Mus musculus: one gene and its partners. The protein of the gene in region 7 interacts with the protein of the main gene of each other region in a biochemical or structural test. Links are inferred from orthologs where the notes say so. Each region holds a gene or a part of one and is shown on either strand. Other genes may lie near its edges. The genes, in order: Cdkn1b, Fbxw11, Fbxo7, Pparg, Rbx1, Btrc and Cdc34.

What was found.
Region 1: of the proteins of Cdc34 (region 7) and Cdkn1b, one has a biochemical effect on the other in vitro, tested with the Homo sapiens proteins (3 studies listed by BioGRID, with this or other methods). The link is inferred for Mus musculus from reciprocal best matches to the Homo sapiens genes CDC34 and CDKN1B.
Region 2: the proteins of Cdc34 (region 7) and Fbxw11 form a complex in vitro, tested with the Homo sapiens proteins (2 studies listed by BioGRID). The link is inferred for Mus musculus from reciprocal best matches to the Homo sapiens genes CDC34 and FBXW11.
Region 3: the proteins of Cdc34 (region 7) and Fbxo7 form a complex in vitro, tested with the Homo sapiens proteins (2 studies listed by BioGRID, with this or other methods). The link is inferred for Mus musculus from reciprocal best matches to the Homo sapiens genes CDC34 and FBXO7.
Region 4: the proteins of Cdc34 (region 7) and Pparg form a complex in vitro, tested with the Homo sapiens proteins (2 studies listed by BioGRID). The link is inferred for Mus musculus from reciprocal best matches to the Homo sapiens genes CDC34 and PPARG.
Region 5: the proteins of Cdc34 (region 7) and Rbx1 form a complex in vitro, tested with the Homo sapiens proteins (84 studies listed by BioGRID and IntAct, with this or other methods). The link is inferred for Mus musculus from reciprocal best matches to the Homo sapiens genes CDC34 and RBX1.
Region 6: the proteins of Cdc34 (region 7) and Btrc form a complex in vitro, tested with the Homo sapiens proteins (4 studies listed by BioGRID and IntAct, with this or other methods). The link is inferred for Mus musculus from reciprocal best matches to the Homo sapiens genes CDC34 and BTRC.

Annotation. Positions count from the first base shown.
Region 1 is NC_000072.6:134,919,168-134,923,200, reverse strand, and holds the start of Cdkn1b (cyclin-dependent kinase inhibitor 1B), read right to left. Parts: upstream 2,801-4,033; 5' UTR 2,282-2,800; coding exon 1,807-2,281; intron 1,246-1,806; coding exon 1,127-1,245; 3' UTR 1,118-1,126; intron 1-1,117. UniProt on the Homo sapiens protein: Important regulator of cell cycle progression. Inhibits the kinase activity of CDK2 bound to cyclin A, but has little inhibitory activity on CDK2 bound to SPDYA. Involved in G1 arrest. Potent inhibitor of cyclin E- and cyclin A-CDK2 complexes.
Region 2 is NC_000077.6:32,729,555-32,733,054, reverse strand, and holds part of Fbxw11 (F-box/WD repeat-containing protein 11), read right to left. Parts: intron 1,720-3,500; coding exon 1,582-1,719; intron 1-1,581.
Region 3 is NC_000076.6:86,028,429-86,031,928, reverse strand, and holds part of Fbxo7 (F-box only protein 7), read right to left. Parts: intron 2,921-3,500; coding exon 2,693-2,920; intron 1,002-2,692; coding exon 860-1,001; intron 1-859. UniProt on the Homo sapiens protein: Substrate recognition component of a SCF (SKP1-CUL1-F-box protein) E3 ubiquitin-protein ligase complex which mediates the ubiquitination and subsequent proteasomal degradation of target proteins and plays a role in several biological processes such as cell cycle, cell proliferation, or maintenance of chromosome stability.
Region 4 is NC_000072.6:115,438,849-115,442,348, reverse strand, and holds part of Pparg (peroxisome proliferator-activated receptor gamma), read right to left. Parts: intron 2,510-3,500; coding exon of another isoform or gene 2,502-2,509; coding exon 2,282-2,501; intron 858-2,281; coding exon 688-857; intron 1-687. UniProt on the Homo sapiens protein: Nuclear receptor that binds peroxisome proliferators such as hypolipidemic drugs and fatty acids.
Region 5 is NC_000081.6:81,465,024-81,469,115, reverse strand, and holds the start of Rbx1 (E3 ubiquitin-protein ligase RBX1), read right to left. Parts: upstream 2,801-4,092; 5' UTR 2,744-2,800; coding exon 2,666-2,743; intron 962-2,665; coding exon 883-961; intron 1-882. UniProt on the Homo sapiens protein: E3 ubiquitin ligase component of multiple cullin-RING-based E3 ubiquitin-protein ligase (CRLs) complexes which mediate the ubiquitination and subsequent proteasomal degradation of target proteins, including proteins involved in cell cycle progression, signal transduction, transcription and transcription-coupled nucleotide excision repair.
Region 6 is NC_000085.6:45,506,734-45,510,233, reverse strand, and holds part of Btrc (F-box/WD repeat-containing protein 1A), read right to left. Parts: intron 2,551-3,500; coding exon 2,364-2,550; intron 1-2,363. UniProt on the Homo sapiens protein: Substrate recognition component of a SCF (SKP1-CUL1-F-box protein) E3 ubiquitin-protein ligase complex which mediates the ubiquitination and subsequent proteasomal degradation of target proteins. Recognizes and binds to phosphorylated target proteins.
Region 7 is NC_000076.6:79,680,797-79,684,994, reverse strand, and holds the start of Cdc34 (ubiquitin-conjugating enzyme E2 R1), read right to left. Parts: upstream 2,801-4,198; 5' UTR 2,582-2,800; coding exon 2,405-2,581; intron 178-2,404; coding exon 91-177; intron 1-90. UniProt on the Homo sapiens protein: E2 ubiquitin-conjugating enzyme that accepts ubiquitin from an E1 ubiquitin-activating protein, and catalyzes its covalent attachment to other proteins by an E3 ubiquitin-protein ligase complex. In vitro catalyzes 'Lys-48'-linked polyubiquitination.

The DNA of each region.
Region 1 (4,033 bases), on a different chromosome or scaffold from region 7:
TTTTCTTCATAAGGAGCTTATAAACTATTATAAGTAGTTAGAGCATATGAATAGTCAATCTATGTAAATTTAGGGGCTGGGTTACTCTAATTAGGCAAGTGGGGTGATGAGATTTTTGACACATGGAAAAATCCACACTTGTGTTGGACCTTCTCAGTTGGTCCTAACATCTACTATCCATTTCCCCTATAAACATCCAAACCGTCCTGTTCCAGCAAATTAGCATACGGTGCTGACGTGTGGGAAGGCTGCTTCCTCTAGCTGTTCATTTAACTTCTGCTTTGTAACCTCAGGGTTAAAATCAATTCTGTGGGAGCATTAGTACTTCTGAACTTTCCAGTCTAATTTTTTTTTTAAGTATGAAGTTCCTTTCTCTCCAAAATTTACCAGCATACAAGGCACAACTTTAAAAAAAAATAAAAAAGTACCCAGAGGTGATGGCACACAACCTCTAATCTCAGCACTCAGGAGGCAGAGACAATACAGATCTCTGTGAGTTCGAAGCCAGCGTGGTCTACAGAGCAATTCCCAGAATAGCCCGAGCTGTTTGTTACACAGAGAAACCCTATCTCAAAAAACCAAAAACCAAAACAAAAGCAAAAGATAAAAAGAACTCGAGCCACGGCAGCTCTATTCACACTCCTAATCAAACGTGCACTATGGGTACCTAGTTTTTCTCTTAAGAACATACATGTAAGTATATATTTGCCATTTTTCTACAGTTCAAATGGTTCAAAATAGGCTATTGGCTCAAAACGAACCTCTGGGAAATGGGTTCTCATGAACTGAGACTGGAAAGGAAAACTGTCATTCCCAGCCTAAGTTTTAGTGGGATTCATAAGGATACGACCGTCCCTATCCTTTGGGGCCTTGGTGGCAAGTTCTTGCTTGGGAACCTCATTCTGATTCCACTTTAAGGTAAATATCTTGGGGTGCAAATACTGCATTATAGTCCCCTCAAGTGATTCCAGCCTTCCCCAGTGTTAATTTTTTTGATCAAGGAAAGTAATTCCTCCTGGCAGGCAACTAATCTGCCAGCAGTCCTGGGGTCTGCAGGCCCCCCGGGGAGCGCAGCCCAGATGGGGTGTCAGTTTTGTGTTCTTCCTCATTAACCCACCGGAGCTGTTTACGTCTGGCGTCGAAGGCCGGGCTTCTTGGGCGTCTGCTCCACAGTGCCAGCGTTCGGGGAACCGTCTGAAACATTTTCTTCTGTTCTGTTGGCCCTTTTGTTTTGCGAAGAAGAATCTAAGAGGGGGGCAAGGGGAAATTTTTAAGAGAACACACACAAACCATCTTTATTATCGACAACAATGGCTGACAGAAGTAGGCCCAAGGGATGAACAACCCACTCACTACCTCCACCCACGACCCCTGGACCCGTCATCCCCGGTAGCATCTAAGGACACAAAATAAGGTTGTTCCCACTAACACAAGGAGTATTCTACACCCCACGTCTCTTCCCCACCCCCATCCCCACCCCCACCCCCCCACCCCAGCCAAGGAGGAGGCAGTTGGTAAACATCCGAACTTTTGTCACGTATCTACAGCTGGCTAGAGGGGAGGAACTGTGATGCGTTCGGCTACGGAAGTTATCACATCTTACTATCTCCGGCTTCTGACTTCAAAATCATAAACAGGGCAAGCAGTCGGATAGGGGGTATGTCAAACCTAAGCTTCAAACAAGTTCGATTTCCCAGAGCTAAAGCAGAACACGCTGGAGAAAGCAAGTGAACAGGGTCTAGTAAAGGGGCGCTTACGGAGACAGACAGACAGACAGACATTTTAAGTTTTCCAAAGAGTCACTACCTTCTGCAGCAGGTCGCTTCCTCATCCCTGGACACTGCTCCGCTAACCCAGCCGGATTGTCTGACGAGTCAGGCATTTGGTCCACCAAATGCCGGTCCTCAGAGTTTGCCTGAGACCCAATTAAAGGCACCGCCTGGCGGCTCCCGCTGACATCCTGGCTCTCCTGCGCCAGCACCTTGCAGGCGCTCTTGGGGGGGCGCGGGGGCCTGTAGTAGAACTCGGGCAAGCTGCCCCTCTCCACCTCCTGCCACTCGTATCTGCCCTCCAGGGGCTTATGATTCTGAAAGTCGAAATTCCACTTGCGCTGACTCGCTTCTTCCATATCCCGGCAGTGCTTCTCCAAGTCCCGGGTTAGTTCTTCATGATTGACCGGGCCGAAGAGATTTCTGCAGGCGGAAGGCTTGGGGTGCTCCGCTTGTCTGGCGTCCATCCGCTCCAGGCTCGGGCTCCCGTTAGACACTCTCACGTTTGACATCTTCCTCCTCGGGCGGGTGTGGACCACCGCCTCGCCTCTCTCCGGAAAAAAAAAAATGAAATAAACAACAAAACCGAACAAAAGCGAAACGCCACGGATGGAGCGCAAAACCCTCTTCGAAGTTCTGCGACTGCACACAGACAGTCAAATGGAGCAGAGCCAGGCGAGCGACCGCCCGAGCCGCAGTAGCGCGCAGGTCTGGGGAAGAGAGGCGCAGGGACACCCCAGCCGCCGCGCAGCTCGAGGCTTCAGTGATCAAGTGTACTGGAGGGCGGGGAAGGGAGGGGAGGAGGCAGGAGGAGGTGGCAAACAGTCGGAGCGTAGGCTGGGGCGAGCCCGTGTGTCCCGCGAACGCAGCCCCTCTCCAAACCTTGCCGCCGCGCGAGTCTCGGAGCCGCGAGTGAGTCGGGACAAGGGATGAGGGGGGAAAACACCCCAAAAGCACGAGCCCCCCTCCTTTTTTAGTTGCCCAATATGGCGGTGGAAGGGAGGCTGACGAAGAAGAAGATGATTGACACTGCAAGTCTATTTAAACAGAGGAGGAGCTCCATTGGTCTCGGCGCCGGGAGCCGCTCCGCCCAGGCTGGCGAGCGCGCTCTTAAGGTGGCCCCGGGCGCGGCGCCGCCGCCTCTCCGCGCTCCCGAGCGCGCCGCCTCCCCGTAGCGCCGCCAGGACATTGGCTGGTCGCGTGACTACTCGGAGGTGTACGACTGCCAACAAACCTGCTCTGGCTGGCCCCGGAGAAATTAAAAATAAGACAAACAAACTAGCCAAACGGCCGGAGAGCTGGGGAGGGGCCAGCGCGGCGGCCAGGCAGGGACCCGGGGATCTAGGTCCCGGCGCTGCAGAGCTGCGCTGGCAGGCGCGTCACCGCTCCCGACTGCGACCTCCAGGTCTTTGCCCGCGAAACCTAGGGCCTGGACCAGTGGGCTCCTAGGTCGCTGGCGGCTTATTAGGAGCTTCGGTGGCTAGTTCAGCCCACCTGCATTCGCCGAGGTGGGAATGGAGGAGGGTATGCGAGAGATTCAGGAAACCTTGGCTCAGGGCCTGGGGCAGCCCACCCACCCCCACCCGGCAGGGTGCCTTAGCTGGGGTGCGGAATCGGCCGCTTAGCCTGACCCCAGAAGTCTCTGCTATGTAGGACAGGCCAGGAGGTGGTTTCAAAAAGAAGCCAGGACTGACCGCTCTTATCAGGGTGTTTCTGAATCCAAGCGCTTCCACCGTAGGATCTCGAGATTGAAAACCCCCAGTGCTCTCCCAAGCCTCTCTTTAGAGCCGTCCCAGACAGAAATCAGAAAAAGCCAGTTCTGATTTTCTTGGTTCCTAAGCACAGTGAAAGCCATTGCTATAGCGTGTGGGAACTCGCCTTTATACCCTTATGTTCTTTCCCGGGCGAAGCCGTTCCCTCCACCTGAGTCCAGACGCCAACTACAACAGTGCCTTCCTTCTCTTTTTTCTCCCACCAGCCTGTTGCTTCCAACCTACTCAGTACAATATTCAAATACAAGCAAATACTTTTAGAGAGCTGCAGGTTGTTAAAGGGCGAAAACACTTTCCTAAGGATCTAAGACTAGATTTGCAAGTGATTTATAATACCACCACCACGGTATTACCAACATCTAGTAATGTTGGGTGGGTTTTTTTCAGCTCCTTGGGCAACTTCACATTTCTCTATCACTGCTGAGCACAGTGACAGAAGTTAAAACAGAATAGCCAGGCCTGTCGTATCTCAGAGTTCAGTGAGATTTTAAG
Region 2 (3,500 bases), on a different chromosome or scaffold from region 7:
AGAATTGAAACAGGTCATGAGATGACAGAGCGGGCAGCTTCTGGAAGGGAAGGGAAGCAGGGCCTTAAGAACAAACGGCTCCTCTCAGGCCTGAGCTCTTCCTTCCCTTCCTTCCTCTTCTTCAGAGCTGCTCTTTCAGAACAGCACACACTGAACCAATCCTCCTCCATCGGGCAGCCTTTTTCACTCTGTCATGGCTTGTTAAGCAAATTCTTTTCAATGCTTTAAAGTTAGCACACTACCTGGGCACCCTGCAGCTTACCCACGCCCACTGCAGAACACCTGCTCATTCCCAAGGCCTGCCTAGGAATTAAGCTGCTGCAAATGTGTGCAGGTTTGGGGTGGACTAAGTTTTCGACTCCTCTGAGCAAATACTAAGTAATATAAGCACTGGATCATATGATAAGAGTGTTTACTAAGAAAGCGCCAAACTGCCTTCCAAAGCAGCTGGCCCACTTTCCATTTCCACAAGCATGGGATGCAGGCTCTGCTGGACTCCTCCCCTTCTTCCCGGGCCCTAGTAGTCACCACACTAATGGAATTCGATGCTTCTCCCAGATGCTTCCCTTTCTTTGAAGGCTGACAACATGGCCATCTTTGTAAATGCTGCTTTGCTGGTTAGACACGCTCTTTAGAGCTCTATCTACTAAGGTCTCTGCCTGTTTTTAAAATGTGTTTTATTTCCTTATTGTTGGGTTTTTATAGTTTCTACACACTTTAACTAGGACTCCCTCATCAGATGTCTTTTACATGTATATCCTGTCAATCTGAAGCCTGGATTTTCTCTCAGAGCAGAAAACTGACACACTAATGAAGACTACCCCATCAATTCTTTCTTCACAGACCATAGTCTGGTATTACATCTGCAATGTCATCCCTAAACCCAAGGTCATTTTACCATACGAGGCGGCAATCCAGCTTCCAGGTTTTCACTCACTCAACTGATCTGAACTTAACATTCCAGCAAAACCTTGCACACGTGTATTGCTAGAGGTTTCATTTACAATTCTGAGGAAGTCCCAAGCAGCATGCACATCCTTGAGAACTAAATAGATTACCACACTATGATGTACCCAATAATATGGAATGCTACTTCACAACAAGAAGTAATGAACTACTGCTAAACAAAGCAGGAGAGTGAGGCTAAATGCATCTGAACTGAGTATAACAAGTCAGTTCAAAAATCTGTTACATGTTATACACTGATAGGAAGGGCTAGATTTTATACACACACACACACACACACACACACTCTCTCTCTCTCCCTCTCTAAATACAGTGGTGGGAAGGCCACTGGGTTCCTGGGTATGAGGAGAGCCTGAAGGAACAAGACAAGTGAATGGGGGGGGGGGGGGGGAAGAGATCATAAACAGAGAGGATGAGTATGAATGTGCTCAGAGACACGTGAGATCAGACAAGGGCGACAGTGCTGGTTCTGGTTTCTTCTGAACTATGAGAACTGCTGATGCTGAGAACAGATAAAAACCTATCAGCAGTAGTAGAGACTGCCACACAACAGCACCTTACCCCTAAGCACCACGTGTATGTATTATACTACAATAACACAGATCAGTAACTTGCCTTGATAGAGTTGTCCCGGAGGCCACTGATAATTTTGTCATCATCATATTGCAAACAGTAGACACCCTTACTATTTTCAGAGCGGCACTGGATCCTCTGCAAGTTGTGTCGTCCACACCGCCAGTTGGATTCTATGGTCTGGAGAAAGGAGGCAAGAGGTGGGGTTTTGTGAGCCAAATGTTCTGTAAGGTTTAACAATCTGGTATTGCTTCCCACCAGAGACCCCCAACTTTTCTCTTTTCCCAATAAAACACTAGACAACAATGTTTCTTCTTAAACCCTCCCTGCCTACCTGGCAGGCATTATGGGATTTCCAGTGAGCTCTGGGTTAGATTTGAAACAGCCTAGACAGAATTCAGTACGTTTAAAGAACATCCCTTGCCCCCAAAATACAAACAGTAACTCACTGAGTCACTTCCTAATGCCAATTAAAACACCTGGCAAAAGACTGCCATATTACTAAGCACTAACTGAAGCGTTGCCTGATCACTGAAAAGACAGGACATTGTGCTAGTGCATCAGTTCTAAGCTCCTGCCAGACTGAAATCACTGTAAATAAGAATTAAAAAAATAAAAAGGGGAAGGAAGGAAGGAAGGAAGGAAGGAAGGAAGGAAGGAAGGAAGGAAAGAAGGAAAGAAGGAAAGAAGGAAAGAAGGAAAGAAGGAAAGAAGGAAAGAAGGCAAGAAGGCAGGCAGGCAGACAGACTGGTGGTGGTGCATGTCTTTACTCGCAGCAGAGGCAGGAGGATCTGAGTTGGAGTTCAGGCTGATCTACTGAGGGAGTTCCAGGACAGCCAGAACAATAGAGAAAACACCTCCTCCCCACCCCACCCCCGCATCTCCCACCCCCTATGTGTGTGTGTGTTTGTGTGTGTGTGTGTGTGTGTTGGGGGGTGTCCACTTCTCTAACATCATGTGTTGTTTAATGGGCTGTTAGCATATTCCCAGTATCAGGAAGTATGAGAAAGATCAACGAGAAGCATACTGCATTCCAAGGAGGCATAAAGCCAATTATGAGGGCAAATACTTGGAATCTAGAAACTGAGACACAAGATGTCAAGTTCAAAGCCTGCCTAAGATGCATATCAAGATTCTTCCTACACAGCTGCATGAGCACACATTCCCCCCACCACCACCACCCCCCTTTCCTCACTTTTAATGGTTAAGCTTAACTTTTTCAATTTTGGACTTAAAATGCAAAAACAATAATATAGATTCAAGAGGAACTGTATTTTGAATTTTGATCCTTTCCCTGGCTAGCCAATTGGATGCTGTATGACAGTAGCAAGCCGTGACCAGCCACTACAGCACAAGAGGAACACACCTGGAATCTACAATGTGTTTCTCAAGTAGGTCGCTCAGCAGGTTAAGGACATTTATACACATTTCAACCTACAACTTAACATGAATTTATCGGATGTAATCCCACAGTACACTGAGGAACATCTAGACTCTGAACTAAATCTGCTTGGTTAAAGATTAAGCCAATAATCTTGGTAGTGTTTCTCATTGTTTTCCTTTATAAATAAGCAAAGAAAGAATTTAACCTGCTGCAAACTGGATTAGCTAGAAGTTACACCCAGTTCTGATCAGCTACGAATATATTCATCAGTACAAAGGATAGTCTTAGCTCTTAGGTAGAGAACACAGAACACAAACATACAGTAACAATCCAGGGCACTCTCTGTGTCAAAATAAACAAACTCTGGCTACAGGATCTGAAAGGCAGCAAGGGCACCCTGGCCTGAGACCATGGCCCGGTTCAATGAGGAAGTAGGGTGTGCCCACCAGAAGACCCAGCCTCAGGGACTATCCAAGATTAAAAGCCATCAGCCTCTAAGACTAGCTGATCTGGATTCTTAGACTTTGAAACCAGTAGACAGCAGGTACAGCTGTCCACACTCAACTTTTGAGTCCAG
Region 3 (3,500 bases), about 6.3 Mb from region 7:
AGGTGGTACACACCCACAACCCCAGAACTTGAGAGACAGAGACAGAAGAACCACAAGTACAAGGCCAGCTTCAGCTACATAAAGAATTTGAGTTCAGTTTGGGCTATACAGACCCAATTTCAAAAGTATAAAAATAAAACAAAAGATCAGAATGAGATGTAAAATCCTGGTCACCCAAATGGATCTCCTACTGTGAGATCATGAGAACATTCCAGAAACCAGTGGTGGTTGGGAAAGACCTGTGTGACATCATGACTAACATGAAATGCAACCACAGGTTAAGACTTAAAGAAGTAAATAAAAAGAGACATTCACAGACATGCACAAAAGAACACTCTTCTAAGTTTCTACACAGTAAAACTCATTTTATTTCTATTACCACAGCTCTCACAGAACCAAGTGTTCAAAAAATGAGACATCGCAAGAAAGAGCTGAGGCTGGAGAGGTGGCTCAACGGTTAGTTATAGGCACTGGCTGTTCTTACAGAGGAGCCTAGTTCAATTCCGAGCACCCACATGGCAGTTCGCAGCATCTGTAACACCAATCGCAGGGGATCTGACACCTCTTCTGGCTTCCACAGGCACCACATGCATGTGATGATGCACAGACAGATAGGGAAAACACTCAAAACGTAAAATAAAAACAAACGGTCAAAAAGAAAACAAGGGGGCTACCCTGAGAGTGAAGGGTGCTGTTCTAAACCAACATCCTCGCATTTGAAATCTTTCAGGCATATGTCATCAGTGGTATAGGAATTAAGTTGTGAACGACTCGGACAGACACTCAAGTGGCTACAGAATGTTTATAAAGAAACTACTTAATTCATAAGGCAGCAACCATGACTGCTCCGTCCCATTACCATTTATAATGATTAAGTTTCCCAAAGGCACACAGGTAAGCACGGCAAAGCCGCCCTCGCAGAGAGGATGTGTGTACTGCAGTTTGTATACACCACTTGACTTCCACTTCTCAGGCATTGTCACTGCTTTGGTTTCAGTTCCCTGAAGAATGAAAGGAAAGGAAAAATAATGAAGAAAGGCGTTGTGTTGAAAAACCTGAAAGTCAGTTAACACCCCTAACTTACTGTGCAACACAGCCCCCCTTAAGCTACCGACGAGGCTCAGCAGATAAAGTGCTTTGTCACAGAAGCCTGATACTCAAGGTGAGCCACAGAAAGGTGAAGGCAGACAACCAACTCCACAGATCTCTGCTGACTGCCACACATGCTACATGGTATGCACACGCCCCACAGACACACACCTCACACATTTTTATAAAGACGCATAGCCTCAACATAATATGCACATCATTAACACTAAAGGAGGATAATATTTTTCTATCAAAATATTCATTTTAATAGATAAGATGACATCATAGAAATAAGGCTTAATTTTTCTCTTCTAAGGCTCACATTTTCTACCTAGTAAAGACATACCATTACTCAAGACTGCAGGGTGAATAGCACTTCCTTCATACAGCCCTTTTTAGAAAAGTTATTTTCTAACATTTACTCACATTTCTATCACTGCATATTTATTATTCTTTGTCAATTTACACTGTTATTTGTAATATGCCATATTTGTCTGGTCTTTTGTGCTCCTTTGTGAACTCTGAGAAATGTGTGCACAGGCGTTCCCTGATCCTGGGTTACTCTCCATCTTTGTGCTCTATCCATGGCCACAGGGAACATGTACAGGCCAGCAGCGCAGGGGTCAGGCCAGAGTATGCAAGAAGCCCAGCTCTATCCTCAGCTTACAAGTCAGAATCTCGGCTCTAATACGGTCCCATGGATTCCCAGCTCCACTCTAACTCTTCATCCAGAGTCCCTGGCACTCTGGATGTGTAAGTGTCTCTCCTAGAACTTACACATTATACTATAATGGTCTAAATTCTTCTCTACTCTCAGACTAACAGTAACTTAAACAAAGACCTAAGACCAGGAACAGAAACAAGTCACTGAATTAGTAGATGCTTAACAAACCCATGCTGAATGACGATAAGCAACCACAGCACAAGCCTATGAACACGACACATTAATTAGTCAGCATCATTCATACTCAGTCCACACTGCCACACTTTATCTTGATATTATAGTATATAAAACCTTGTGTCTTTTTTTCCCCCCTTTTGGACCAGTTGCCATTATCTCTGGGCAATACTAAATGCTAACAAGGGAAATGATGGAAAAAGAAGGAATGCTGGAAAGGGCACATTTACTGAGTACCTGTGACAACTCCTCACTGTGTCTGACATTTTATATTCAAGAACCAATCACATTTAGTAAAGGAAGATAGACTATCACGATGCCCTTGTGAAGTACCCAGGGAGACATCATGACTTAGTTAGGGCTTTACTGCTATGAACAGACACCATGACCAAGGCAACTCTTATAAGGACAGCCATTTACTTGGGGCTGGCTCAGAGGTTCAGAGATTCAGTCCATTATCATCATCAAGACAGGAACATGGCAGCTACCAGGCAGGCATGGTGCAGGAGGAGCTGAGAGTTCTACATCTTCATCTGAAGGCCACTAAGAGAAGACTGGCTCCCATGTGGTTAGGAGGAAGGTCTCATTGCCCATCCCAACAGTGACACACTTCCTCCAACAAGGTCACACCTCCTGATAGTGCCACTCCTTGGGCCAAGCATATTCAAATCACCACACCTCCTAAGGTATTTGGGTTGCACTCACCTGAGGAATGTAGCCTGACTCGAGCATCAGGAGATGCACCAGCACTATCAAGGCATCACTGATGTTGGAGCAGCCAGCTGACTGGTACAGGGTCTCTAGAGAATGTGGTACCTGCCCATCCTCTGTTTCATTACAGAGCATTGGTTCCAATGGATGGAAACCAGAAACCTCTTCCATACTCATGGCATCCTGAATTGACTCAGCTTCAACATTTTGACTAGGCCCTTCCTAAAAAGGATAATAGATTCATTAATTTTACATAGGACATTTTATAACCTAAACTGAGCAGAGATTAGTGCTCAAAACAAAAGCCAGCATGAGGTTCAGATATAGGAAGCTCTTATAAATAAATGACACTGCAACCTACACCTCTGTCCTGAGTCCCATAACTCCAGGCTAAAAACATGGAGCTCATCGGTAAGTCTCCATACACTTACTAAACAGTACCTAATTGTGCTCATAGCTCCAACCACTACCATGCCCAGATCTCTCTAAAGCTGTACTTCCTGTGCCACTGTACCTCATACCCCCATTATGTGTCTCCTGAGTTCCAGGAACAGCACCTCCTCAGAGTGCCTGCCTCCCCTTCTTGTCTCATATACACCATGTACTCCTGCCAGTTACCCAAAGTTAAGGAGCCAATCACATCTTATGTCCCAGTTGAAAACTCAGGATTTCCTCAAGACAGGCAGTACTGTTTCCCACAATTGTACTTTAAGACTGTGTCCCTGAATGTTCTTAGAGAAAAATTGGTACAGAGTCAAGCAGAAAAACACTACATGCATGCTACGTCTGCCTAATCTAACCC
Region 4 (3,500 bases), on a different chromosome or scaffold from region 7:
CAGGGAAGAGCTCAGTTGTTGCCTTTTGCCCTTCCATTACACAAGGCTTGATCTGTGGCTGGACTACAGGAACAGCACTAGATTAGGGCTTGGTAGGGACAGACCTCACTAACCCGTAACTTTGCTTTTCCTTTTGTAGTCCTGGGAATAAAGAGCCTATTCAAGTGACCCCATGCCTTTGATGCACAATTTCTACAGTGCTAATATATTAATATGCTTAATATTACAGCATTAGTCCATGGGTCAAGTGATATACATATATAGTCTATCAAGCCTTTCTTGTTTAAGAGATTGTATAGCACGATGAAAAACACACTAGAGAAATCAGAAGATGTAGGTCCTAGTACTGGCTCATCATTCACTGTCTTGCTGCGATACCTTGGATAAGTCCTTTCAAAAACAAAACAAAACAAAACAAAACAAACAAAAAAACCCCCAAAAAACCTCTGCAAGATCCACTGAGATGCCTCAAAGACTCATTTTGGGGAAGGGGAAGTGGGATAGAGTAATGCTGCTTTTATTAGCTTTTCTCAGATTTTCAAATGTTATATTACTTGAAGAATGAGTTCTGCCAAAACAACTCCCCACAACTTTATCTTTAAATTCTTAGAGTGAGTTTGTAACAGGAAATAGAATAGGCAAAATTGCAGAAAACTCTAGGATGGTTTTTTTAAATTTAATTTTTACCTTGCATCCTTCACAAGCATGAACTCCATAGTGGAAGCCTGATGCTTTATCCCCACAGACTCGGCACTCAATGGCCATGAGGGAGTTAGAAGGTTCTTCATGAGGCCTGTTGTAGAGCTGGGTCTTTTCAGAATAATAAGGTGGAGATGCAGGTTCTACTTTGATCGCACCTGTGCATGGGAAAATTTGAGAAGATGGTTATCTCATGACAAACAATCTTAAAGAGGAACTGTGGCTTTCCATGGTGGCCTTCATATTTTCATGCCATAACTTTACTGTCTCAGAAGAGGCGCTGGGGAACATGAAGAAACGTTGGTGCTCAGATAGGAAAAGTAAGACTTTGTCATCTCAGGCAAGTCACAACACCCCAGAACCTCACCTGCACAAATAAAGCGGGAAGGGAATTAAAAGCCAGAGAATTAAGTGTGCTTCCCCCCCCCCCCCCCAAACTTCCCGCTGCTTTCCACAGACATTGCACAGGGTTTGGATAAGTGACGCTTACTTGGCTAGGCAATGGGCTGCATCTGGCATCCATTCTGCTATTATGGGTTTTATTGAAAAGGTGAATTTTAGAAATAGTTTTAAACTTTTCTTGCAAAAGAAATACAGAAGGAACATGGGCAAGAAAATGCCATGGTGAGCCTAGCCCGAGGTGCCAGGTTATCAACAGGGTTGAGTCTGAGGTGGTTTGTAAAGTGATCTTTGATAGAGAGTGGGAGCAACCTGTGTGAGGCAAGTACTGCGTTTGCCCGTGGCTCAGACCTATTGAATTTCCGTATTAGGCTCTAACCCTGAGCCACACAGATAAATACCCACGTATACTTTCTATCTAAAGAAAACAACTAGAAATTACAGGAAGTTCTTACTTATTATCAAGTAATGCTTGCCAGTGACACAGGGGTGACTCTGGAAAACCAGCACATCAGCCCACAAGATAAAAATCAAGGAAACAGCACCACAGAAATGATACTTTATCTCAAAAAGTTTGGTTCTGGTTTTCTTGAGGCTGATGTTTTATGTTAATTTACTTAATGTCATGATGATCTGTCAGTCAGCCACAATGTTCAAATGTAAGTTTATGCCCCAAACTAGGGTTTGAGGTAAATTTTACAAATTACAGCTTAGAAAGAAAGCCTAACTGTAATAGTAACTTAGCTATGATGAGTCATGTAAGTTGACCTACAGCTATGACTTACTGAAAAGAAGCTGGGAGAATTCAAAGTTTACATGATGGACTGTCAGCCTAAGACAAAACTGGCAATGTAGTCATCCTAGAAAATGTTCCAAAGATGGAAACAAGAAAGGAAAGAAAGGAGAAGATAGACGTGTGTGTGTGTGTGTGTGTGTGTGTGTGTGTGTGTGTGTGTGTGTGTAAGTTTGGGAACATTGGAGGGAGAAGAAGAAAGGGGGTTAGGTTGGGAACATTGTTGTGCTGTCTTATCTTGGCCTCCCACAGACATCTAGAACTTCAAGCGTAGTGGATAAACTGAGTAAAGATGCCTTCTTGTCAGAGTGCTAATCTCAGGAGCATTTATTCAATGGTTATTAAAAAACTGTCTAACTCCAATCCTAGTAGTTTGAAAAGTAAACATACTTTGGTATTCTTGGAGCTTCAGGTCATATTTGTAATCAGCAACCATTGGGTCAGCTCTTGTGAATGGAATGTCTTCATAGTGTGGAGCAGAAATGCTGGAGAAATCAACTGTGGTAAAGGGCTTGATGTCAAAGGAATGCGAGTGGTCTTCCATCACGGAGAGGTCCACAGAGCTGATTCCGAAGTTGGTGGGCCAGAATGGCATCTCTGTGTCAACCATGGTAATTTCTGAAGTGGAAAAAAAAGAACAGGATATGAGTCAAGTTCTGGAGGGCAGAGCAGTCCTCATAGACATAGAGAGGAGCTGAATGAGTTTAATAAAGCATTTCACTCAGACTTCCCTATGGGGGTGAGTGCACTACTGCCTTTCTAGTACCACCCAGGTAAGAAGGAAGTCAGCCTTTACCTGAGTTTCTGTATTGAGAGAACTTAAGATCTGCTTCATTAGCAAATTTCAACTATATGATACAGTATTTCTAACTATAATCATCTTGCTGTCTATCAGGACTCCAAAGTGTTATGGAAACCCTGGCCAGTCTTCCCTACGCCTAGGCCTTGGCAACTAGCAAGAGTATGTGGCATCTGGTTTCCTGAGTCTAGTTTGTTTTCCTTAGTACAATGTTCCTTTGGGTCATCTATATTGCTACAAGAAACAGAAGTTTTTCCTTTTTAAAGGCCATAGAGTATTTCACTGTATGTATGTGTGTGTGTGTGCATACATGTTCATGTGTGTGCATTCTGCATATGTGTGTATATATACTATGGGTTTTTTTTTTTACTTGTTTGAGTATGCATGCCTGTGTATACATGTGCATTCTGCATGTGTGTGTCTGTTCATACCACAGAGCTTTTTGTTTACTTTTACTTGTTTATATGTCTTAGATTCTCATGTTGATTTCATATCTTGGCTATAGTGAATAGTGTCATAATAAACATGGGAGCATAGAAGCTTTGACATAGTAATTTTTAGTTCCCTGGCCATATTTCTAGTGGTAGGGCTGCTAATCACATGGAAATTCCACTTTTGATTTTTTGAGAATCTCCACTTGCTTTCTATAATGGCTGCACAGTGTATAGTATACTTCACTAGAGATGTTTCTGTTGCTCCATATCCTCTCTTCTCTTCATGGACTAGCTATTCTAACAGACGTGGAATAGTATATTTTTGCTGTAGTTTTGATTTGCTTTTCTCTGGGGATTAGTGATATTGAACATTTTT
Region 5 (4,092 bases), on a different chromosome or scaffold from region 7:
TCTGGAAGGGCAGCCAATGTTCTTAACTCCTGAACCATCTCTCCAATCTGTGATTGTAATCTTGTTCAACAAAAACTAGCTTAGGTAAGAGTACTGTAGTTCAAATCTTAGCCCTGATGGGCCTGTAATTTGTAACAATACTCCTGCCACTGCCTTTCAAATGCTGGGATTCCAGGCATATACCACTATATCTACCTTCAAAGGTCATTTTCTTCCACTATTTTTGCCTTTATGGCTGTCTAAGAAGGAAATAAAAGGCAACTCTATCTACACCCCATTTTAAATGGGATCTTGCCTGATTTACAATGAATAATTCATTCTGAGAGCAAGGTACGCCTCCAAGACATTGTTTTAAGAAACAACTTAACCGGTGGTGGTGCACGCCTCTAATCCCAGCGCTTGGGAAGCAGAGGCAGGTGGATTTCTGAGTCCAAGGCCAGCCTGGTCTACAAAGTGAGTTCCAGGACAGCCAGGGCTACACAGAGAAACCCTGTCTGGGGGGAAAAAAAAGAAAGAAAGAAAAAAAAAAAACCCACAAAAAAAAAAAAAAAACCCCACAAAAAAAAAAAAAAAAAAAAAAAAAAAGAAAAGAAAAGAAACAATTTAATTCAGGAGGCAGAGGCAGGTGGATCTCTAGTTCAAGGCCAGCCTGGTCTACTACAAAGTGAGTTCTAGTAGAGCTAGGGCTACACAAAAAACTCTGTCTCCACAAACAACCACAAAACAATCTACTTCAAACACACCAATGGATGAGATACACAAGTGCCTAAGGGTTCTGAGCCTGCTTTGTATTCACTGGTAAAGAAGACAATTGGGCACACCAGGATGACCACCATTTCTGTAACCTTCTCAACTTCTTCCCATCTGCCCCGAGTTACTTACAAAGATCCATAATGTGGTTCCTGCAGATGGCACAGTTATCAACCACAATGTCCCAGGCCCAGAGGGCCACTGCATTCCACTGCAAGGAGAAGAGGGGAAACAATGCATTTTCCTTGTAATCTAACAGCTCATTAGGACTTCAGCTTGCAGCTTCAGTTACCAACGCCCCAGCCACAGGGCCTACCAAAGAAAGGATGTTTTTGGATTATACTATTTGGACTATATCAGAGGACAACAGCAGACCACCTGTACACTTCCCCATTCCTTGAAAGATGAAGTATATGAACATGGGTATCTTCAATTTTTTATATATAATGTAAAATAATTTAGCTAGCCAAACCAACGTGAGAATATTAGTACTATTTTCTGTACAGCTTTCCCTGACAGCTGTGGAAGAACTCAAAATCTGCATAAGCACGGGCTCTCCACAAAGTTTTGGACTCAGAGGCAAGGAAGTGAACAGACTGAACTAAGATAATAAATGGACCACTAAGTGGATAATCACAGGATAAGCTGGATAGCAAGTTACCTACCCAGTTTCAGTACACAGAACGAGGTCATCACTTAAACCTTAAAAGAGCACTGCAAGCAAAGTAGAATCCACTGCGATTTTCTTTTCCTCTTACCAAGTAAACTGATGTTCTCAACGTTCATATATCCAAACAATTACTTTGTTAGCTCCAGTAAGTCGACCTAAGACTTCTTATGTTAGACAAGGCACCCTTTTCAAGGACTACTTTGGTTTGACTTTCCAAATTCAAGCATAAGAGTTTAGTAAATTCTACATTACATTTTTATTTTTCATAATGGCTGCAGGCTGTAACTGAGCAGCAGTGGCCACAATGAGATGACACAAAAAGGGGGTGGGGTGAGGGATATTCTCAGCGACACGTTCCAAAAATAATCCATAAAAAGAAAACACCTTGCCCTCTTCAAGATCTTCATTTTTAACAGATCTGTGTAATCTTAGGTAGGAATCAACACTTTTAAAGGACTAGCAAACTATGAAGGGGAACGGCATACAAAAGGACGTTTCATATTTTTGTTTTTCTGTTCTCAGGTCATTAGCAATTAGTACTCCACCTTCTTAAATGGCACAAGTTCTGGGCTTGCTTTTAAAACAAAGCCCACCAGGCTTTTAAATTATCATTTTGTGTTAGAAGTGTACAGGGACATCAGAGAACCACTGGAGTGGCAGATGCTATGTGACAACTAGTAGCCATCTCGTTAGAACCAAGCTTTACACTTGACTGTGGGTTTAGAGGCCAATGGAGGCCGCCATACAATCGAGGGCCCACGCCAGGTCCCTCGGAGTCAATAGATTCTAGGATCCAGGAAGGGGCGGAGCAAGAACACCGGCAGAGCCCCTCTGCGCTGTCATCTCACGTTCCCGGGGTTCTCCGCACGGCCCCATCCTCCACCCGCCGCAGTCTCTTCACGAGTCTGCATCCCACCCACCCCACCCTGTCCTTCCCCCACCTCTCAGTCACTTCAGTGACAGCTCAAGCGCTTGGCTCCCGCATCGAAGTCAACCTCGCGTATTTCAGTAAGCAGCTCTGCGATTGGCCCCACAGCTTCCCCAGCAAGACTAATAGGGCCCCAGACACTGGGCCACCAGCATGCCGATCAACCCTAGGCCCGCCCCCCGGCTTCCGTTCTTGGTGCCCGGTCCCAGGAACGCCCTGAAATGAAGCCCTTTCCCCCGCGCCTAGCTCTTCCTCGGGCCTGCCAGCCATATCCGCGCCTCCCTAGCTTCCTTGAGGAAGGCGCTGGCGAGCCCAACCTTTTTAACTTCAAAGCGCTTCTTGCCCGCGCCGCTGTTGGTGCCGCTGGGGGTATCCACATCCATCGCCGCCGCCATTTTGGAAACACACAGTCTGTCGTGTGACCACTGCGCCTGCGCACCGGCTCACTTTCCGCCGCCTGCCCCGCACACCAGGCGCCTCCTCCCGCACCCCTCCCCTCATTGGCGCGAGCGTGGAGAAGGGGCGGAGCCTGCGGTCACGCCCCTTAAAGGCGCAGGCGGAGGTTTCCCGCCCCCCTCCTCCCCATCTCTCTCAGCTGGGGAGGAGGCTGGAGTGATTGAGGCGGGGCCGGGCGGGGCCGGGCGGGGCCGAGAGAAGGGAGCCAACCGGTGGGAACGTCCGTGAGGTCTCGATGCTTCTCGCATTCTGGGAAGCCCTGTGGTCTGACTCCTTCATTTGGGGCGGCGGCTGCTTCCTTCTTCTGCCCCAGGACTTAAGCCCTGGTCCAGATCCACAGAGCTGCCCCCGAGTCCGTGGTTGCAAAGGGCATGGGCTGGTCTTTGGAAACCCGAAACTCCAAACCGGCCTTCTGCTGACCGTGGTCGGCTTCGGAGCCAGGCGGTGTCTCTCTGGAGGCCTGTGGCCCGGCTTACCAAGGCCTGGTCACCGTCTGCGTTATCAATTTCAGATTGGGAAATTATTTGATAGGGAGAGAAGAGGCCCAGGAGCAAACAGAGCAGGCATTCTGCAACTTTGCCTTTATCTTCTCACAGGAAAGGTGATGGGGATGCCATAGTAAATCCCATAACCAGCCAGTTCTAAATGGTCCTCCTTTCTCCTCATTTCCTATCGAGTTTTGCTACTGTGCTACGATTAAATTAGTACATTTGTAGTGGCTGAACTTGAGTTCTGGTGAGGCATTCTGATTTTCTTACCGGTCATTACCATCGAGCTACAGAACACATACGTTTTGTAAGCTTCCATGATTAGTCCAGCCCTCCGCTGTTTTGTCTCCTAAATTTGCGGAGTTATGACTAGAATACATCACCCTTGAATTTCCTGTGTGTTCTAGTTCCCTCAACAGTACAACAAAAAGGGTTTTACCGGAAATGTGCCCCTCCCCCCCCCCAGAAAGGGTTTTTCTCTGTGTAGCCCTGGCTGTCCTGGAACTCAGGACTGGACCTAGGCCGGCTTCGAACTCAGAAATCTGCCTGCTTCTGCTTCCCAAGTGCTGGGATTAAAGGCATGCGCCACCACTGCCTGTCCTGAAATGTTCTGTTAAAAGAAATACTTGCTGGTGTGTAATGCGGTGTGTCATTGATGCACTTGCTAAGCAGGGCAATACATCCTGAATACCACCACAGTTTTAACTTGCACAGAGACTTGTGAGAGCCCTGCAAGGTGTGTGTGTGTCTGCCCAAGTTCTACCTCCCACACTAAATCTGTCATTGGTCTATGTGTCTAC
Region 6 (3,500 bases), on a different chromosome or scaffold from region 7:
CACTATCACCCTGAACAGAAAGACAATAAAAGAAATGGGAGGGAGGTACACCTGGTATTACCTGGAGACACTAAGCACATTCACAGAGCACACAGCATCTGTATTTACCACTTCATGGAACTATAACAAGTCATATCAAAGTGTATCAATTTGATCAAAGACAAGGGAACTTGGGTAAAAAGCTGGATGGCTTGCAAAGGGTGGGAGGAAGTTCAGAGGCTGTGGAGAGGCAAGGATACACCTCAGCTCTTTCAAAAGGCTAAAAAGTGCACTAGGAGGTAACTTAGGAACAGAAAAATTGCCTAACATGTAATGTACAAAGCCCTCAGCTTTATTCCAGGCACCACAAAAATTATTTTTTTAAAAAGAGTCCAAAAAACTATCTTTTCAATGATAGTTCTTTGTTACTGTCTTAATATCCAACCTAAAAGAGCCCGCTGTTTAGGACCAACCCTAAACAAGAGTCTGCCTTTTCACTGCACTTACAGGGGCCCTGCACACATCAGCAGGGCACTTCTGTCTCCTGCCTTCCTGGCAGGTTAATGCTTATGCTGAAACTTATTATCATTCACAGGACGAACGGAAACAAAGTTTCTTAACAGGGCATGAAATCTTTGTAGCCAAGAATTGAGTTTTTCAAATTGAGACTTAAAGCCTGAATTATCTGGAGGAGAATTTCTTTGCTTTCCTAAGAGTTAGAGAATCTTCCCAGACACCCTGAAATTTCCCCAAGTAAACAACTGTGTGCTCCACTTTGAAAGCTGGTCTTGGATTCAGCAAATAATGGTCTCTGAATGCCACACATGATAACTATCAGAGTATGAAGTCAGTAAGCAAAGGCAGTTTCTATTTTCCCACATAGAAAGAAGTTAAAAAAAAATCTGAAAGGGAAAAAAAGAGAAAGAAATGACAGTCAGCCCCGGTTTGCAGTCATAGCAAGGACGTGGCTAGTGTGTGAATCCTGAAGCTGGGCTGCAGAGTAAAGGTTTTAAGAGCTTGAGACATCTCTCAAGTGCTTACCAGGACACTCAGGCCAACACTTTAATGAACCCACGAATTTCAACGACATCAAAGTGAGAGAGCCAAGTGTAATTTTATAAAAATGTGAAGGAAAGTTGATTCATATGCATCTGTCTTTCTTTCCTGCCTCAATTTCCCTACCTGCTGGGATCACAGGTGTGGATTACCACGTCACCCAACTAAGTCAAAGTTTGGTTTTTTGCTTATAGTGCTGAGGACTGGACCCAAAGCCAGCCATATGTGTGTGTGTGTGGTGTGTGTGTGGTGTGTTTGTGTATACATACATACACACACACACACACACACACACACACACACACACACAATGAGGGCACCTGCAGCCCTTAGCTATTTTTACACTTGTTTTGAGACAGGGTCATGCTGCAGAGGGAGAGTGGGTCACATATGTACTAGCCTCCTTTCTACTTCTTGGAAAAGCAGGCCATGTACTACCATACCTAGCTTCCCTTTAGTAATCTTAACTATTTGAGGTTGCATATGACACCAGACCAGAAAAGAACAGAAAAAAAAAAGGTTAATTTTGAAGGCAATCACTGGGCATAGACATGTCTATTATCATTTTTTATCAAATATACTTAATAACTTATTTAATGAATTATTCATACCTGACTTTCTTATAGTGACATTCTAGAGACACACTCTGAGGCAAAATTCTAAAAAGAAAAATATCTTCAAGAAGTTTTAATGAAATAGTGCCATTATGCCCAGGGAACACTACTGGGGAAGTCTTTCAGGCCACTGACTACACAGGCCTTAGGGAATTCATAATTAAACAAGCAAATCTAAAGACACAAGTTTTAAGAAGAAACAAATGGTTTATCCTAAATTTCATTTTTCATTCTTTCTGGTAGCTATAGCTTAATTCTACTTGGGCATAAAAATTAAATTTTGATTACAATGATGATGAGACACTGGAGGTGGGGACTACATAGAGGAACTCTGGTGAAGAATAGTGACTCCATCTTCCCCAGAAGAAGAGGAGGAAGCAGGAGTGGGTTCTTTCTACCTGATTGGAAGCTATCTTTTCTTCCTTAAAAATTGTCTCTCAGGCTTTCTGCAAAATTCTAACTTCTGCCCAGAGAGCAGAATTCTTTAATTAGGAGGGTGGTCACTTTTCTTTTTTCTTTTGTAAAACATGTCATCTTATGATTGACTGGTCAGAAGAAAAGCTACGGAGTACACAGACAACATTTGCTTATATTTTTAGCTATAAACTTCACAAGGACTACAGACGATGCGCAGTGACCTCGCTGGCTCCTGACACTTGGCCGTGCCCAGGAGCCAGGCCCGGGGCTGCCACAGGGAGAGAAAGGGAGGCTCACCAGCCTCTGCGCTCTGCCAGGCCTCGCCACAGAGAGTCCGTCCTGACCATCCTCTCGATGAGCTTTTTCCACAGCATGCCGTCCGACGTCACGCGGTACCATTCCTTGCACACGAGCTCAGCAGCACACAGTGACTTGGCGTCCAAGTATGACAGAATGTTCTCAGCGATGTGGTCCAGACCCCGTGCTTCAGTGAGGGGAGGGAGCACAGAAAAAGAACAGAGCGGGTGCTGAGCGATTCTTCACAGAAAGCCCTTTAAAAGAGCAGCACATGCCTGAGATAAAGGCACACCGCTCTCCCCAGCGTGGTCCAGCTTTGCTCAAACAGAGACTTGGGGAAAATGAGTGTCAATAATTTTTCCATAAGGTTACAGAAATGAACAGTATTTTCCATCTTCTGTTAGATAAGGAAGTTAAAGCTAACAACCAGCAAACCCCCCAAGACATTAAAAATAAAAAGGAGTCCAGAAAACAGTTCACATCTATCTATATGGATTTCAACACTAGGGGATGTTCTACAGACGGCATCTCAAACTCAGTGATTCAGACCCCCCGAAATCCTGATATTAGGTCCATTTCTCATTCTGTTCTATTACTGCTGCTGTTCCAAAGCTATTCAACGAAAGAAATATCCTTTAAATGTACTAGGGAGAGAGAGGCAGCAAGTCAGACTGATCTGGGACGTGGCGTGTGGGCATTCAGGAGAGGGATGAGCACAGGGCCCAGGAGCACCCTGAGAGGAGAGACACATGGGGATACTAGGGTTCAAAGGAGTCTGATTGCATGTGCTAAAAACAAAACAAAACAAATTTTACTGCTATAAAACCTAAGTGACAACTGACCTAAAATGGAATAAAAAAATCTTACCAGTAAATGAGGGTAGCGTTTCAAAGGAAAAATATGGCAGGCTGATACCGTACTTCCCAATTAAAGCTCTTTAGCACCCAATAGGCCCCAAAGCCTCGGTGGAGAAGAGCCTGTCAAACAGGATGGCCACTCTAATAACACTTCTGGCATTGCTGTCCTAAGTTCTCAGGTCAGCCAGTCACAACTAGTCATCCCCGAGGCTTTCTCAAGGCTCACAAGGGGAAGGATTCCTCCAGTCTGCTGTCTGCAGGCATGAACGGAAAGGACCGA
Region 7 (4,198 bases):
GACGAGGGTTAGACGAGGGGCGGGCACGTGCAAGGGAGGCAGGAGGTGTGTGTGGTGGAGTGTGCCTGAGGCAGGTATTTAGTGTCTTACCTCATAGATGTTTGGGTGCCACATCTTGGTGAGGAACCGGAAGGCTGGTGGGGAATACGGGTAGTCGATGGGGAACTTGAGGCGAGCCTACAGATGGTAGAAAATGGGGTGGCTCAATGGCAGCCCCTTGAGCACTGGAATTAGGGGTTATGCCCAACGGGGACAAAAAGCAGTGGCTGCCCCTGGTGTTCAGGTCCTGAAGCCAACCCCAGTCTCTGTACACTGGGACACACAAAGCACCTCTGTGACCTGACATGCAGGTTAGGAAAGGCCAGGCAGTAAGTATCACTTGGTGTGGGCTAGCTAGAGGAATGAGTCAGCAGATCTCCTGGACAGCCTCAGGCCTAAAACTAACACTATCCAAGCTCAGGGGCCCAGGCCAAGAATAGTCACCAGACAAGCTGGAACCATCTGCCTGGCCACAGCAGTTGCTTGTGGCTAAAAGTTCACCCTGCCAACTGCCCCCCAGACTCTGGACAGGTAGAGAAGGCCTGAGGTTTACCCTAGTCTTGGGGCTCCCCAAAGGCAGCTTCTAGTGTTCCCTGGACAAGTAGAGCCCTTAGGGAGACTGGCCTGTGACCTCAGAGCTGGCCAGGAATTCAAGCTAGAGGATCTGCTGACACACACATCCAGTGTGGCCTGTCAGCCCTGATGTCTCAGGAGAGCAGGGGAAAGTGGGATTGCTGCAACACCCCTCACGTCTGTGGCTCCGGATGCTTTATACGGATGAGCAAACTGAGGCTCAGGAACAGGAAGGGTGCTCCCAACCTCTTCCTGGACAGCCCCAAAGTGAAACAGGCTGGGCTGTCCAGACGAAGCTCCTCACAGTTGCCCCCTTACAGAGTCTCCCCATGTCTCAGCCACCCACACCATACAGGAGGCTCCCACGCTGACAGACTTGATTGACATCTTGCCGAGCATCCTAAGCTATCTCAAGAATTATGTGAGTCTAGGAGACTCTACCCACAATCCCTTTACAGATGAGGAACAGGTCAGGTGACCCTGCTCTGAACAGAACTTGTCCTCCTGGCAGTTCCCACTGCCCCTCCCAGCAAATACAGGAGACAAGGTGCTAAGAGCATCCAGATATTTCTTAATTCAGACCACATCCAGGTGGGAGGCAAGGAAGAAGACACACAAACAAATATCTACCATGGCCCTACACTAGGGACCCTAGATTGGCTGGGATTTGTGCATCCACCCGGTCCTCATCTTGTCCCTTTTGGCCCTAGCATGAGATTCTGTGATTCTGCTAGTTATTCTAGCCCCCAGTAAGCAGGATGATCTAACTGTGCTGATGGGGGTACCTATAGCTGGCCACACATTTCCAGTGTTGGAGGCTTCCCAGTGTTCCCTGCTCCCAACCACAAGAACATCTGGTGCATTGAGCGTGAAGCCACCAGAGGGCAGACGACACTATCTAGAAGGAAAAATCAGGCCCCTAAGAAGCCACCTGTTCAGTGGAACCTGAGAAAGGCTGTCAGGGTGGGGCAAACACAGAGCTCTAGGGTCCAGGGCCCAAAGAAGGAACCCAGGGTGTGGCTCCAAGATTCAGGGTGGACCCCCCACTGCCCCCTTGGAATGCATTACATAAAGCCTGGCTAGGGCTAAAGGTGGCTGTTGTCCAAGCAGGCAAGGCTGCCAAGGCCCTATCAGGGCCTCTACTGGAACTGGAGCAGGTGGCTGTCCAGGCTACACGTCCCTTCTCTGGGGACACATCGGCCAGCGGCTGCCCTGGTTCTGTGTTCCAGCGTAGGGGGCAGGGCCTTGGGATACCAGCTAGCAGCTGCCCGTGGTCCTTTATGTCTTGGGACAACCTAAGAACCTTTCCAGGTTTTACCACATGCTGGTAGGGTGAGGAACAACCTGGGAAAATGCTTGCCAGCAGGGGGCTCCAGAGGCTTCTGTGTCTTGGGGTAGGGGGAACTAACCGGAGGGGGGGGGTTGAGAGGGGGACGGGACAAGAAGGAAAACAACTGTCCCCGGAGAGACCCTTTACCAGAAGCATTATGGAAGGGTGGGGACAACAGGGAAAGATCCTTTCCCAGGTACAAGTTTAGTCCAGTGTAGGACAACCTGGGAACACGCTGACCAGCAGCAGGCTCTAGAGGCCCCTGCGTCTCGTGGTGGGGAGTTGCCTGGGCATGCGGCATACATTAGCAGTCCCTGATCCTGTAGCCTGTTGGAGGACAGCTTAGGGAGACCAGTCCCCGGGGTAAGGTCAGCACGTGCCCAACAAAAAAGGGAGGAGCCGCTTTGCACGAGGAGCCTGGGAGAGAGGCAGGCACAAAGAGGAAACTGAGGCTCTGCTCACCTTGAAGTAGCCGCCCTCATAGTAGGTGTTGGGGGGCCCGAAGATGGCCACCTCCCAGTTGTACAGGTCACCCTCGTCCACCAGCGTCACCCGGAAGCCCTCCACCGGCTCCTCCTGCAGCCCCTTCAGTTCCAGCAGCAGCGCCTTCTGCGAGCTTGGCACCAGCGGCCGGGCCATGGCGGTGGCGGCGGCGGCGACGGAGGGGCCCGGGGCCGGGCCGGGCCGCGGGACCGGCGCGAGCTCGCGAGACGGACCGGGTCGCGCGCCGGCAGGGGGAGAGCCGCCGCCTTCCTCCTCTGCACCGCCGCCGCCGCCGCCACCCGGGGACCCCGAAGGCTCCACTCGCTCTGGCGCCGCTGCCCGCCCGGCGCTCGCTTCGGCCCGGCCCGGCCCGCGCCTAACGCGCCTGCGCGCCGCAGCCGCCGGGCCTCGAATGCGCCTGCGCACCGGCTCCCGACCCCGAATGCGCCTGCGTGCCTCCTTCGGGCCCCGAAAGCGCTTGCGTGCCACACCCGGGCCTAGAGTGCGGCTGCGCGCCGCTGCTGCCGGGCCGGAAATGCACCTGCGCGCCACTGCCGGGTCTAGAATGCGCCTGTGCGACGCCTCCACCGGGTCCGGAATGTGTCTGCGCGCCCGCCCGCGGGGCACACCGGGAAGTGTAGTCGTCGTCCCCCGCCCTGCCGCGCAGGCGCCTTGCGTTTCCGAAGCTCCGGAGGCCGCCGTCGCCTCCGGCCGGAAGAGCTCCGCGGATGCCTGTGTGCGGGGTGGCCGGCAGGGCCGGGCTGCGCGCTGCGGAGTGGCAGCTGCGGCTTTGGGGGCCTTTTTTTGTGACGTTCAGGGGGCGTGGTTGTGGGTGGGGAATTGGGCGTGGCTTGTGCGGGAGCGGAGCAGGATCCGCCCCTGTTTCCCAGCATGAAGCGTTAGATGGCCCCATTTGGTCTCTATGGGCTCAGGTAGAAGCGCAGGGAATCAACGACTTGGGGTTTGCAGACGTGGCTTCCAGGAGGTGGAGTCTGAACCCCTTCAGACTGACCTTTGACCACACCCTAGTCTTGCTTAAATCGACCAGAAAGCAGTGGTGAGGCATAACCCAAAAGTTTACAGGATCCGGAACAGACACGCAAAGACCTTGAGGTTGTTCAGCACAGACACCCATAACTCCTTTCTTGGACATTTGGTCATTAGTATTGGTGGTGGCAGCATATTTAAGCTTTGCAGCAGGGTGTGTGTGTGGTGTACCCGTGACCTTTAGGGGTGGGTGGTTCTGTCCCTAGGCTGTACTGGCCACTCACCCTGACTGTGGGCGTTCTGGAGGACTACAGCTGCATCAACACTTGGGGCTGGGAAAGGGCAGCTCCCACCACAGGTGCTCCGACATCCTGTCATGTCGGGGATAGCAGGTAGACCTGTTTGGGGACAGGGAAACGGTGTCAAAGGTGGGGCTGGTTGATATGACCAGGGAAGAGCCCAGGGTCCAATGCCACTTCATGTGTGGCACTACCTTGGCTGTCCTCCCCCTGGGAGCCCTAGACTCTTGGGCTAGAAGTCTTTCTGGTCACGCTCTTTTCCAAGGACTTCCAGAAGTATCTGCCCCTGTTGTGCATGTCACACTGCCCATCTTACACTGTCACCTAGTTGTCAGCACATAGCAAGTAGCTCAGGTTTTCCTGTGTGTCTGAGATGACCACTCCCACAGCCTGCACTTAGGAAGCCCTTGATGTATAAACGGACAGGGTGCCCCTCCCTTCAGGTGGAACATACTTCTCCCTACTCCCAGGCGAGCCTGCACCTGGG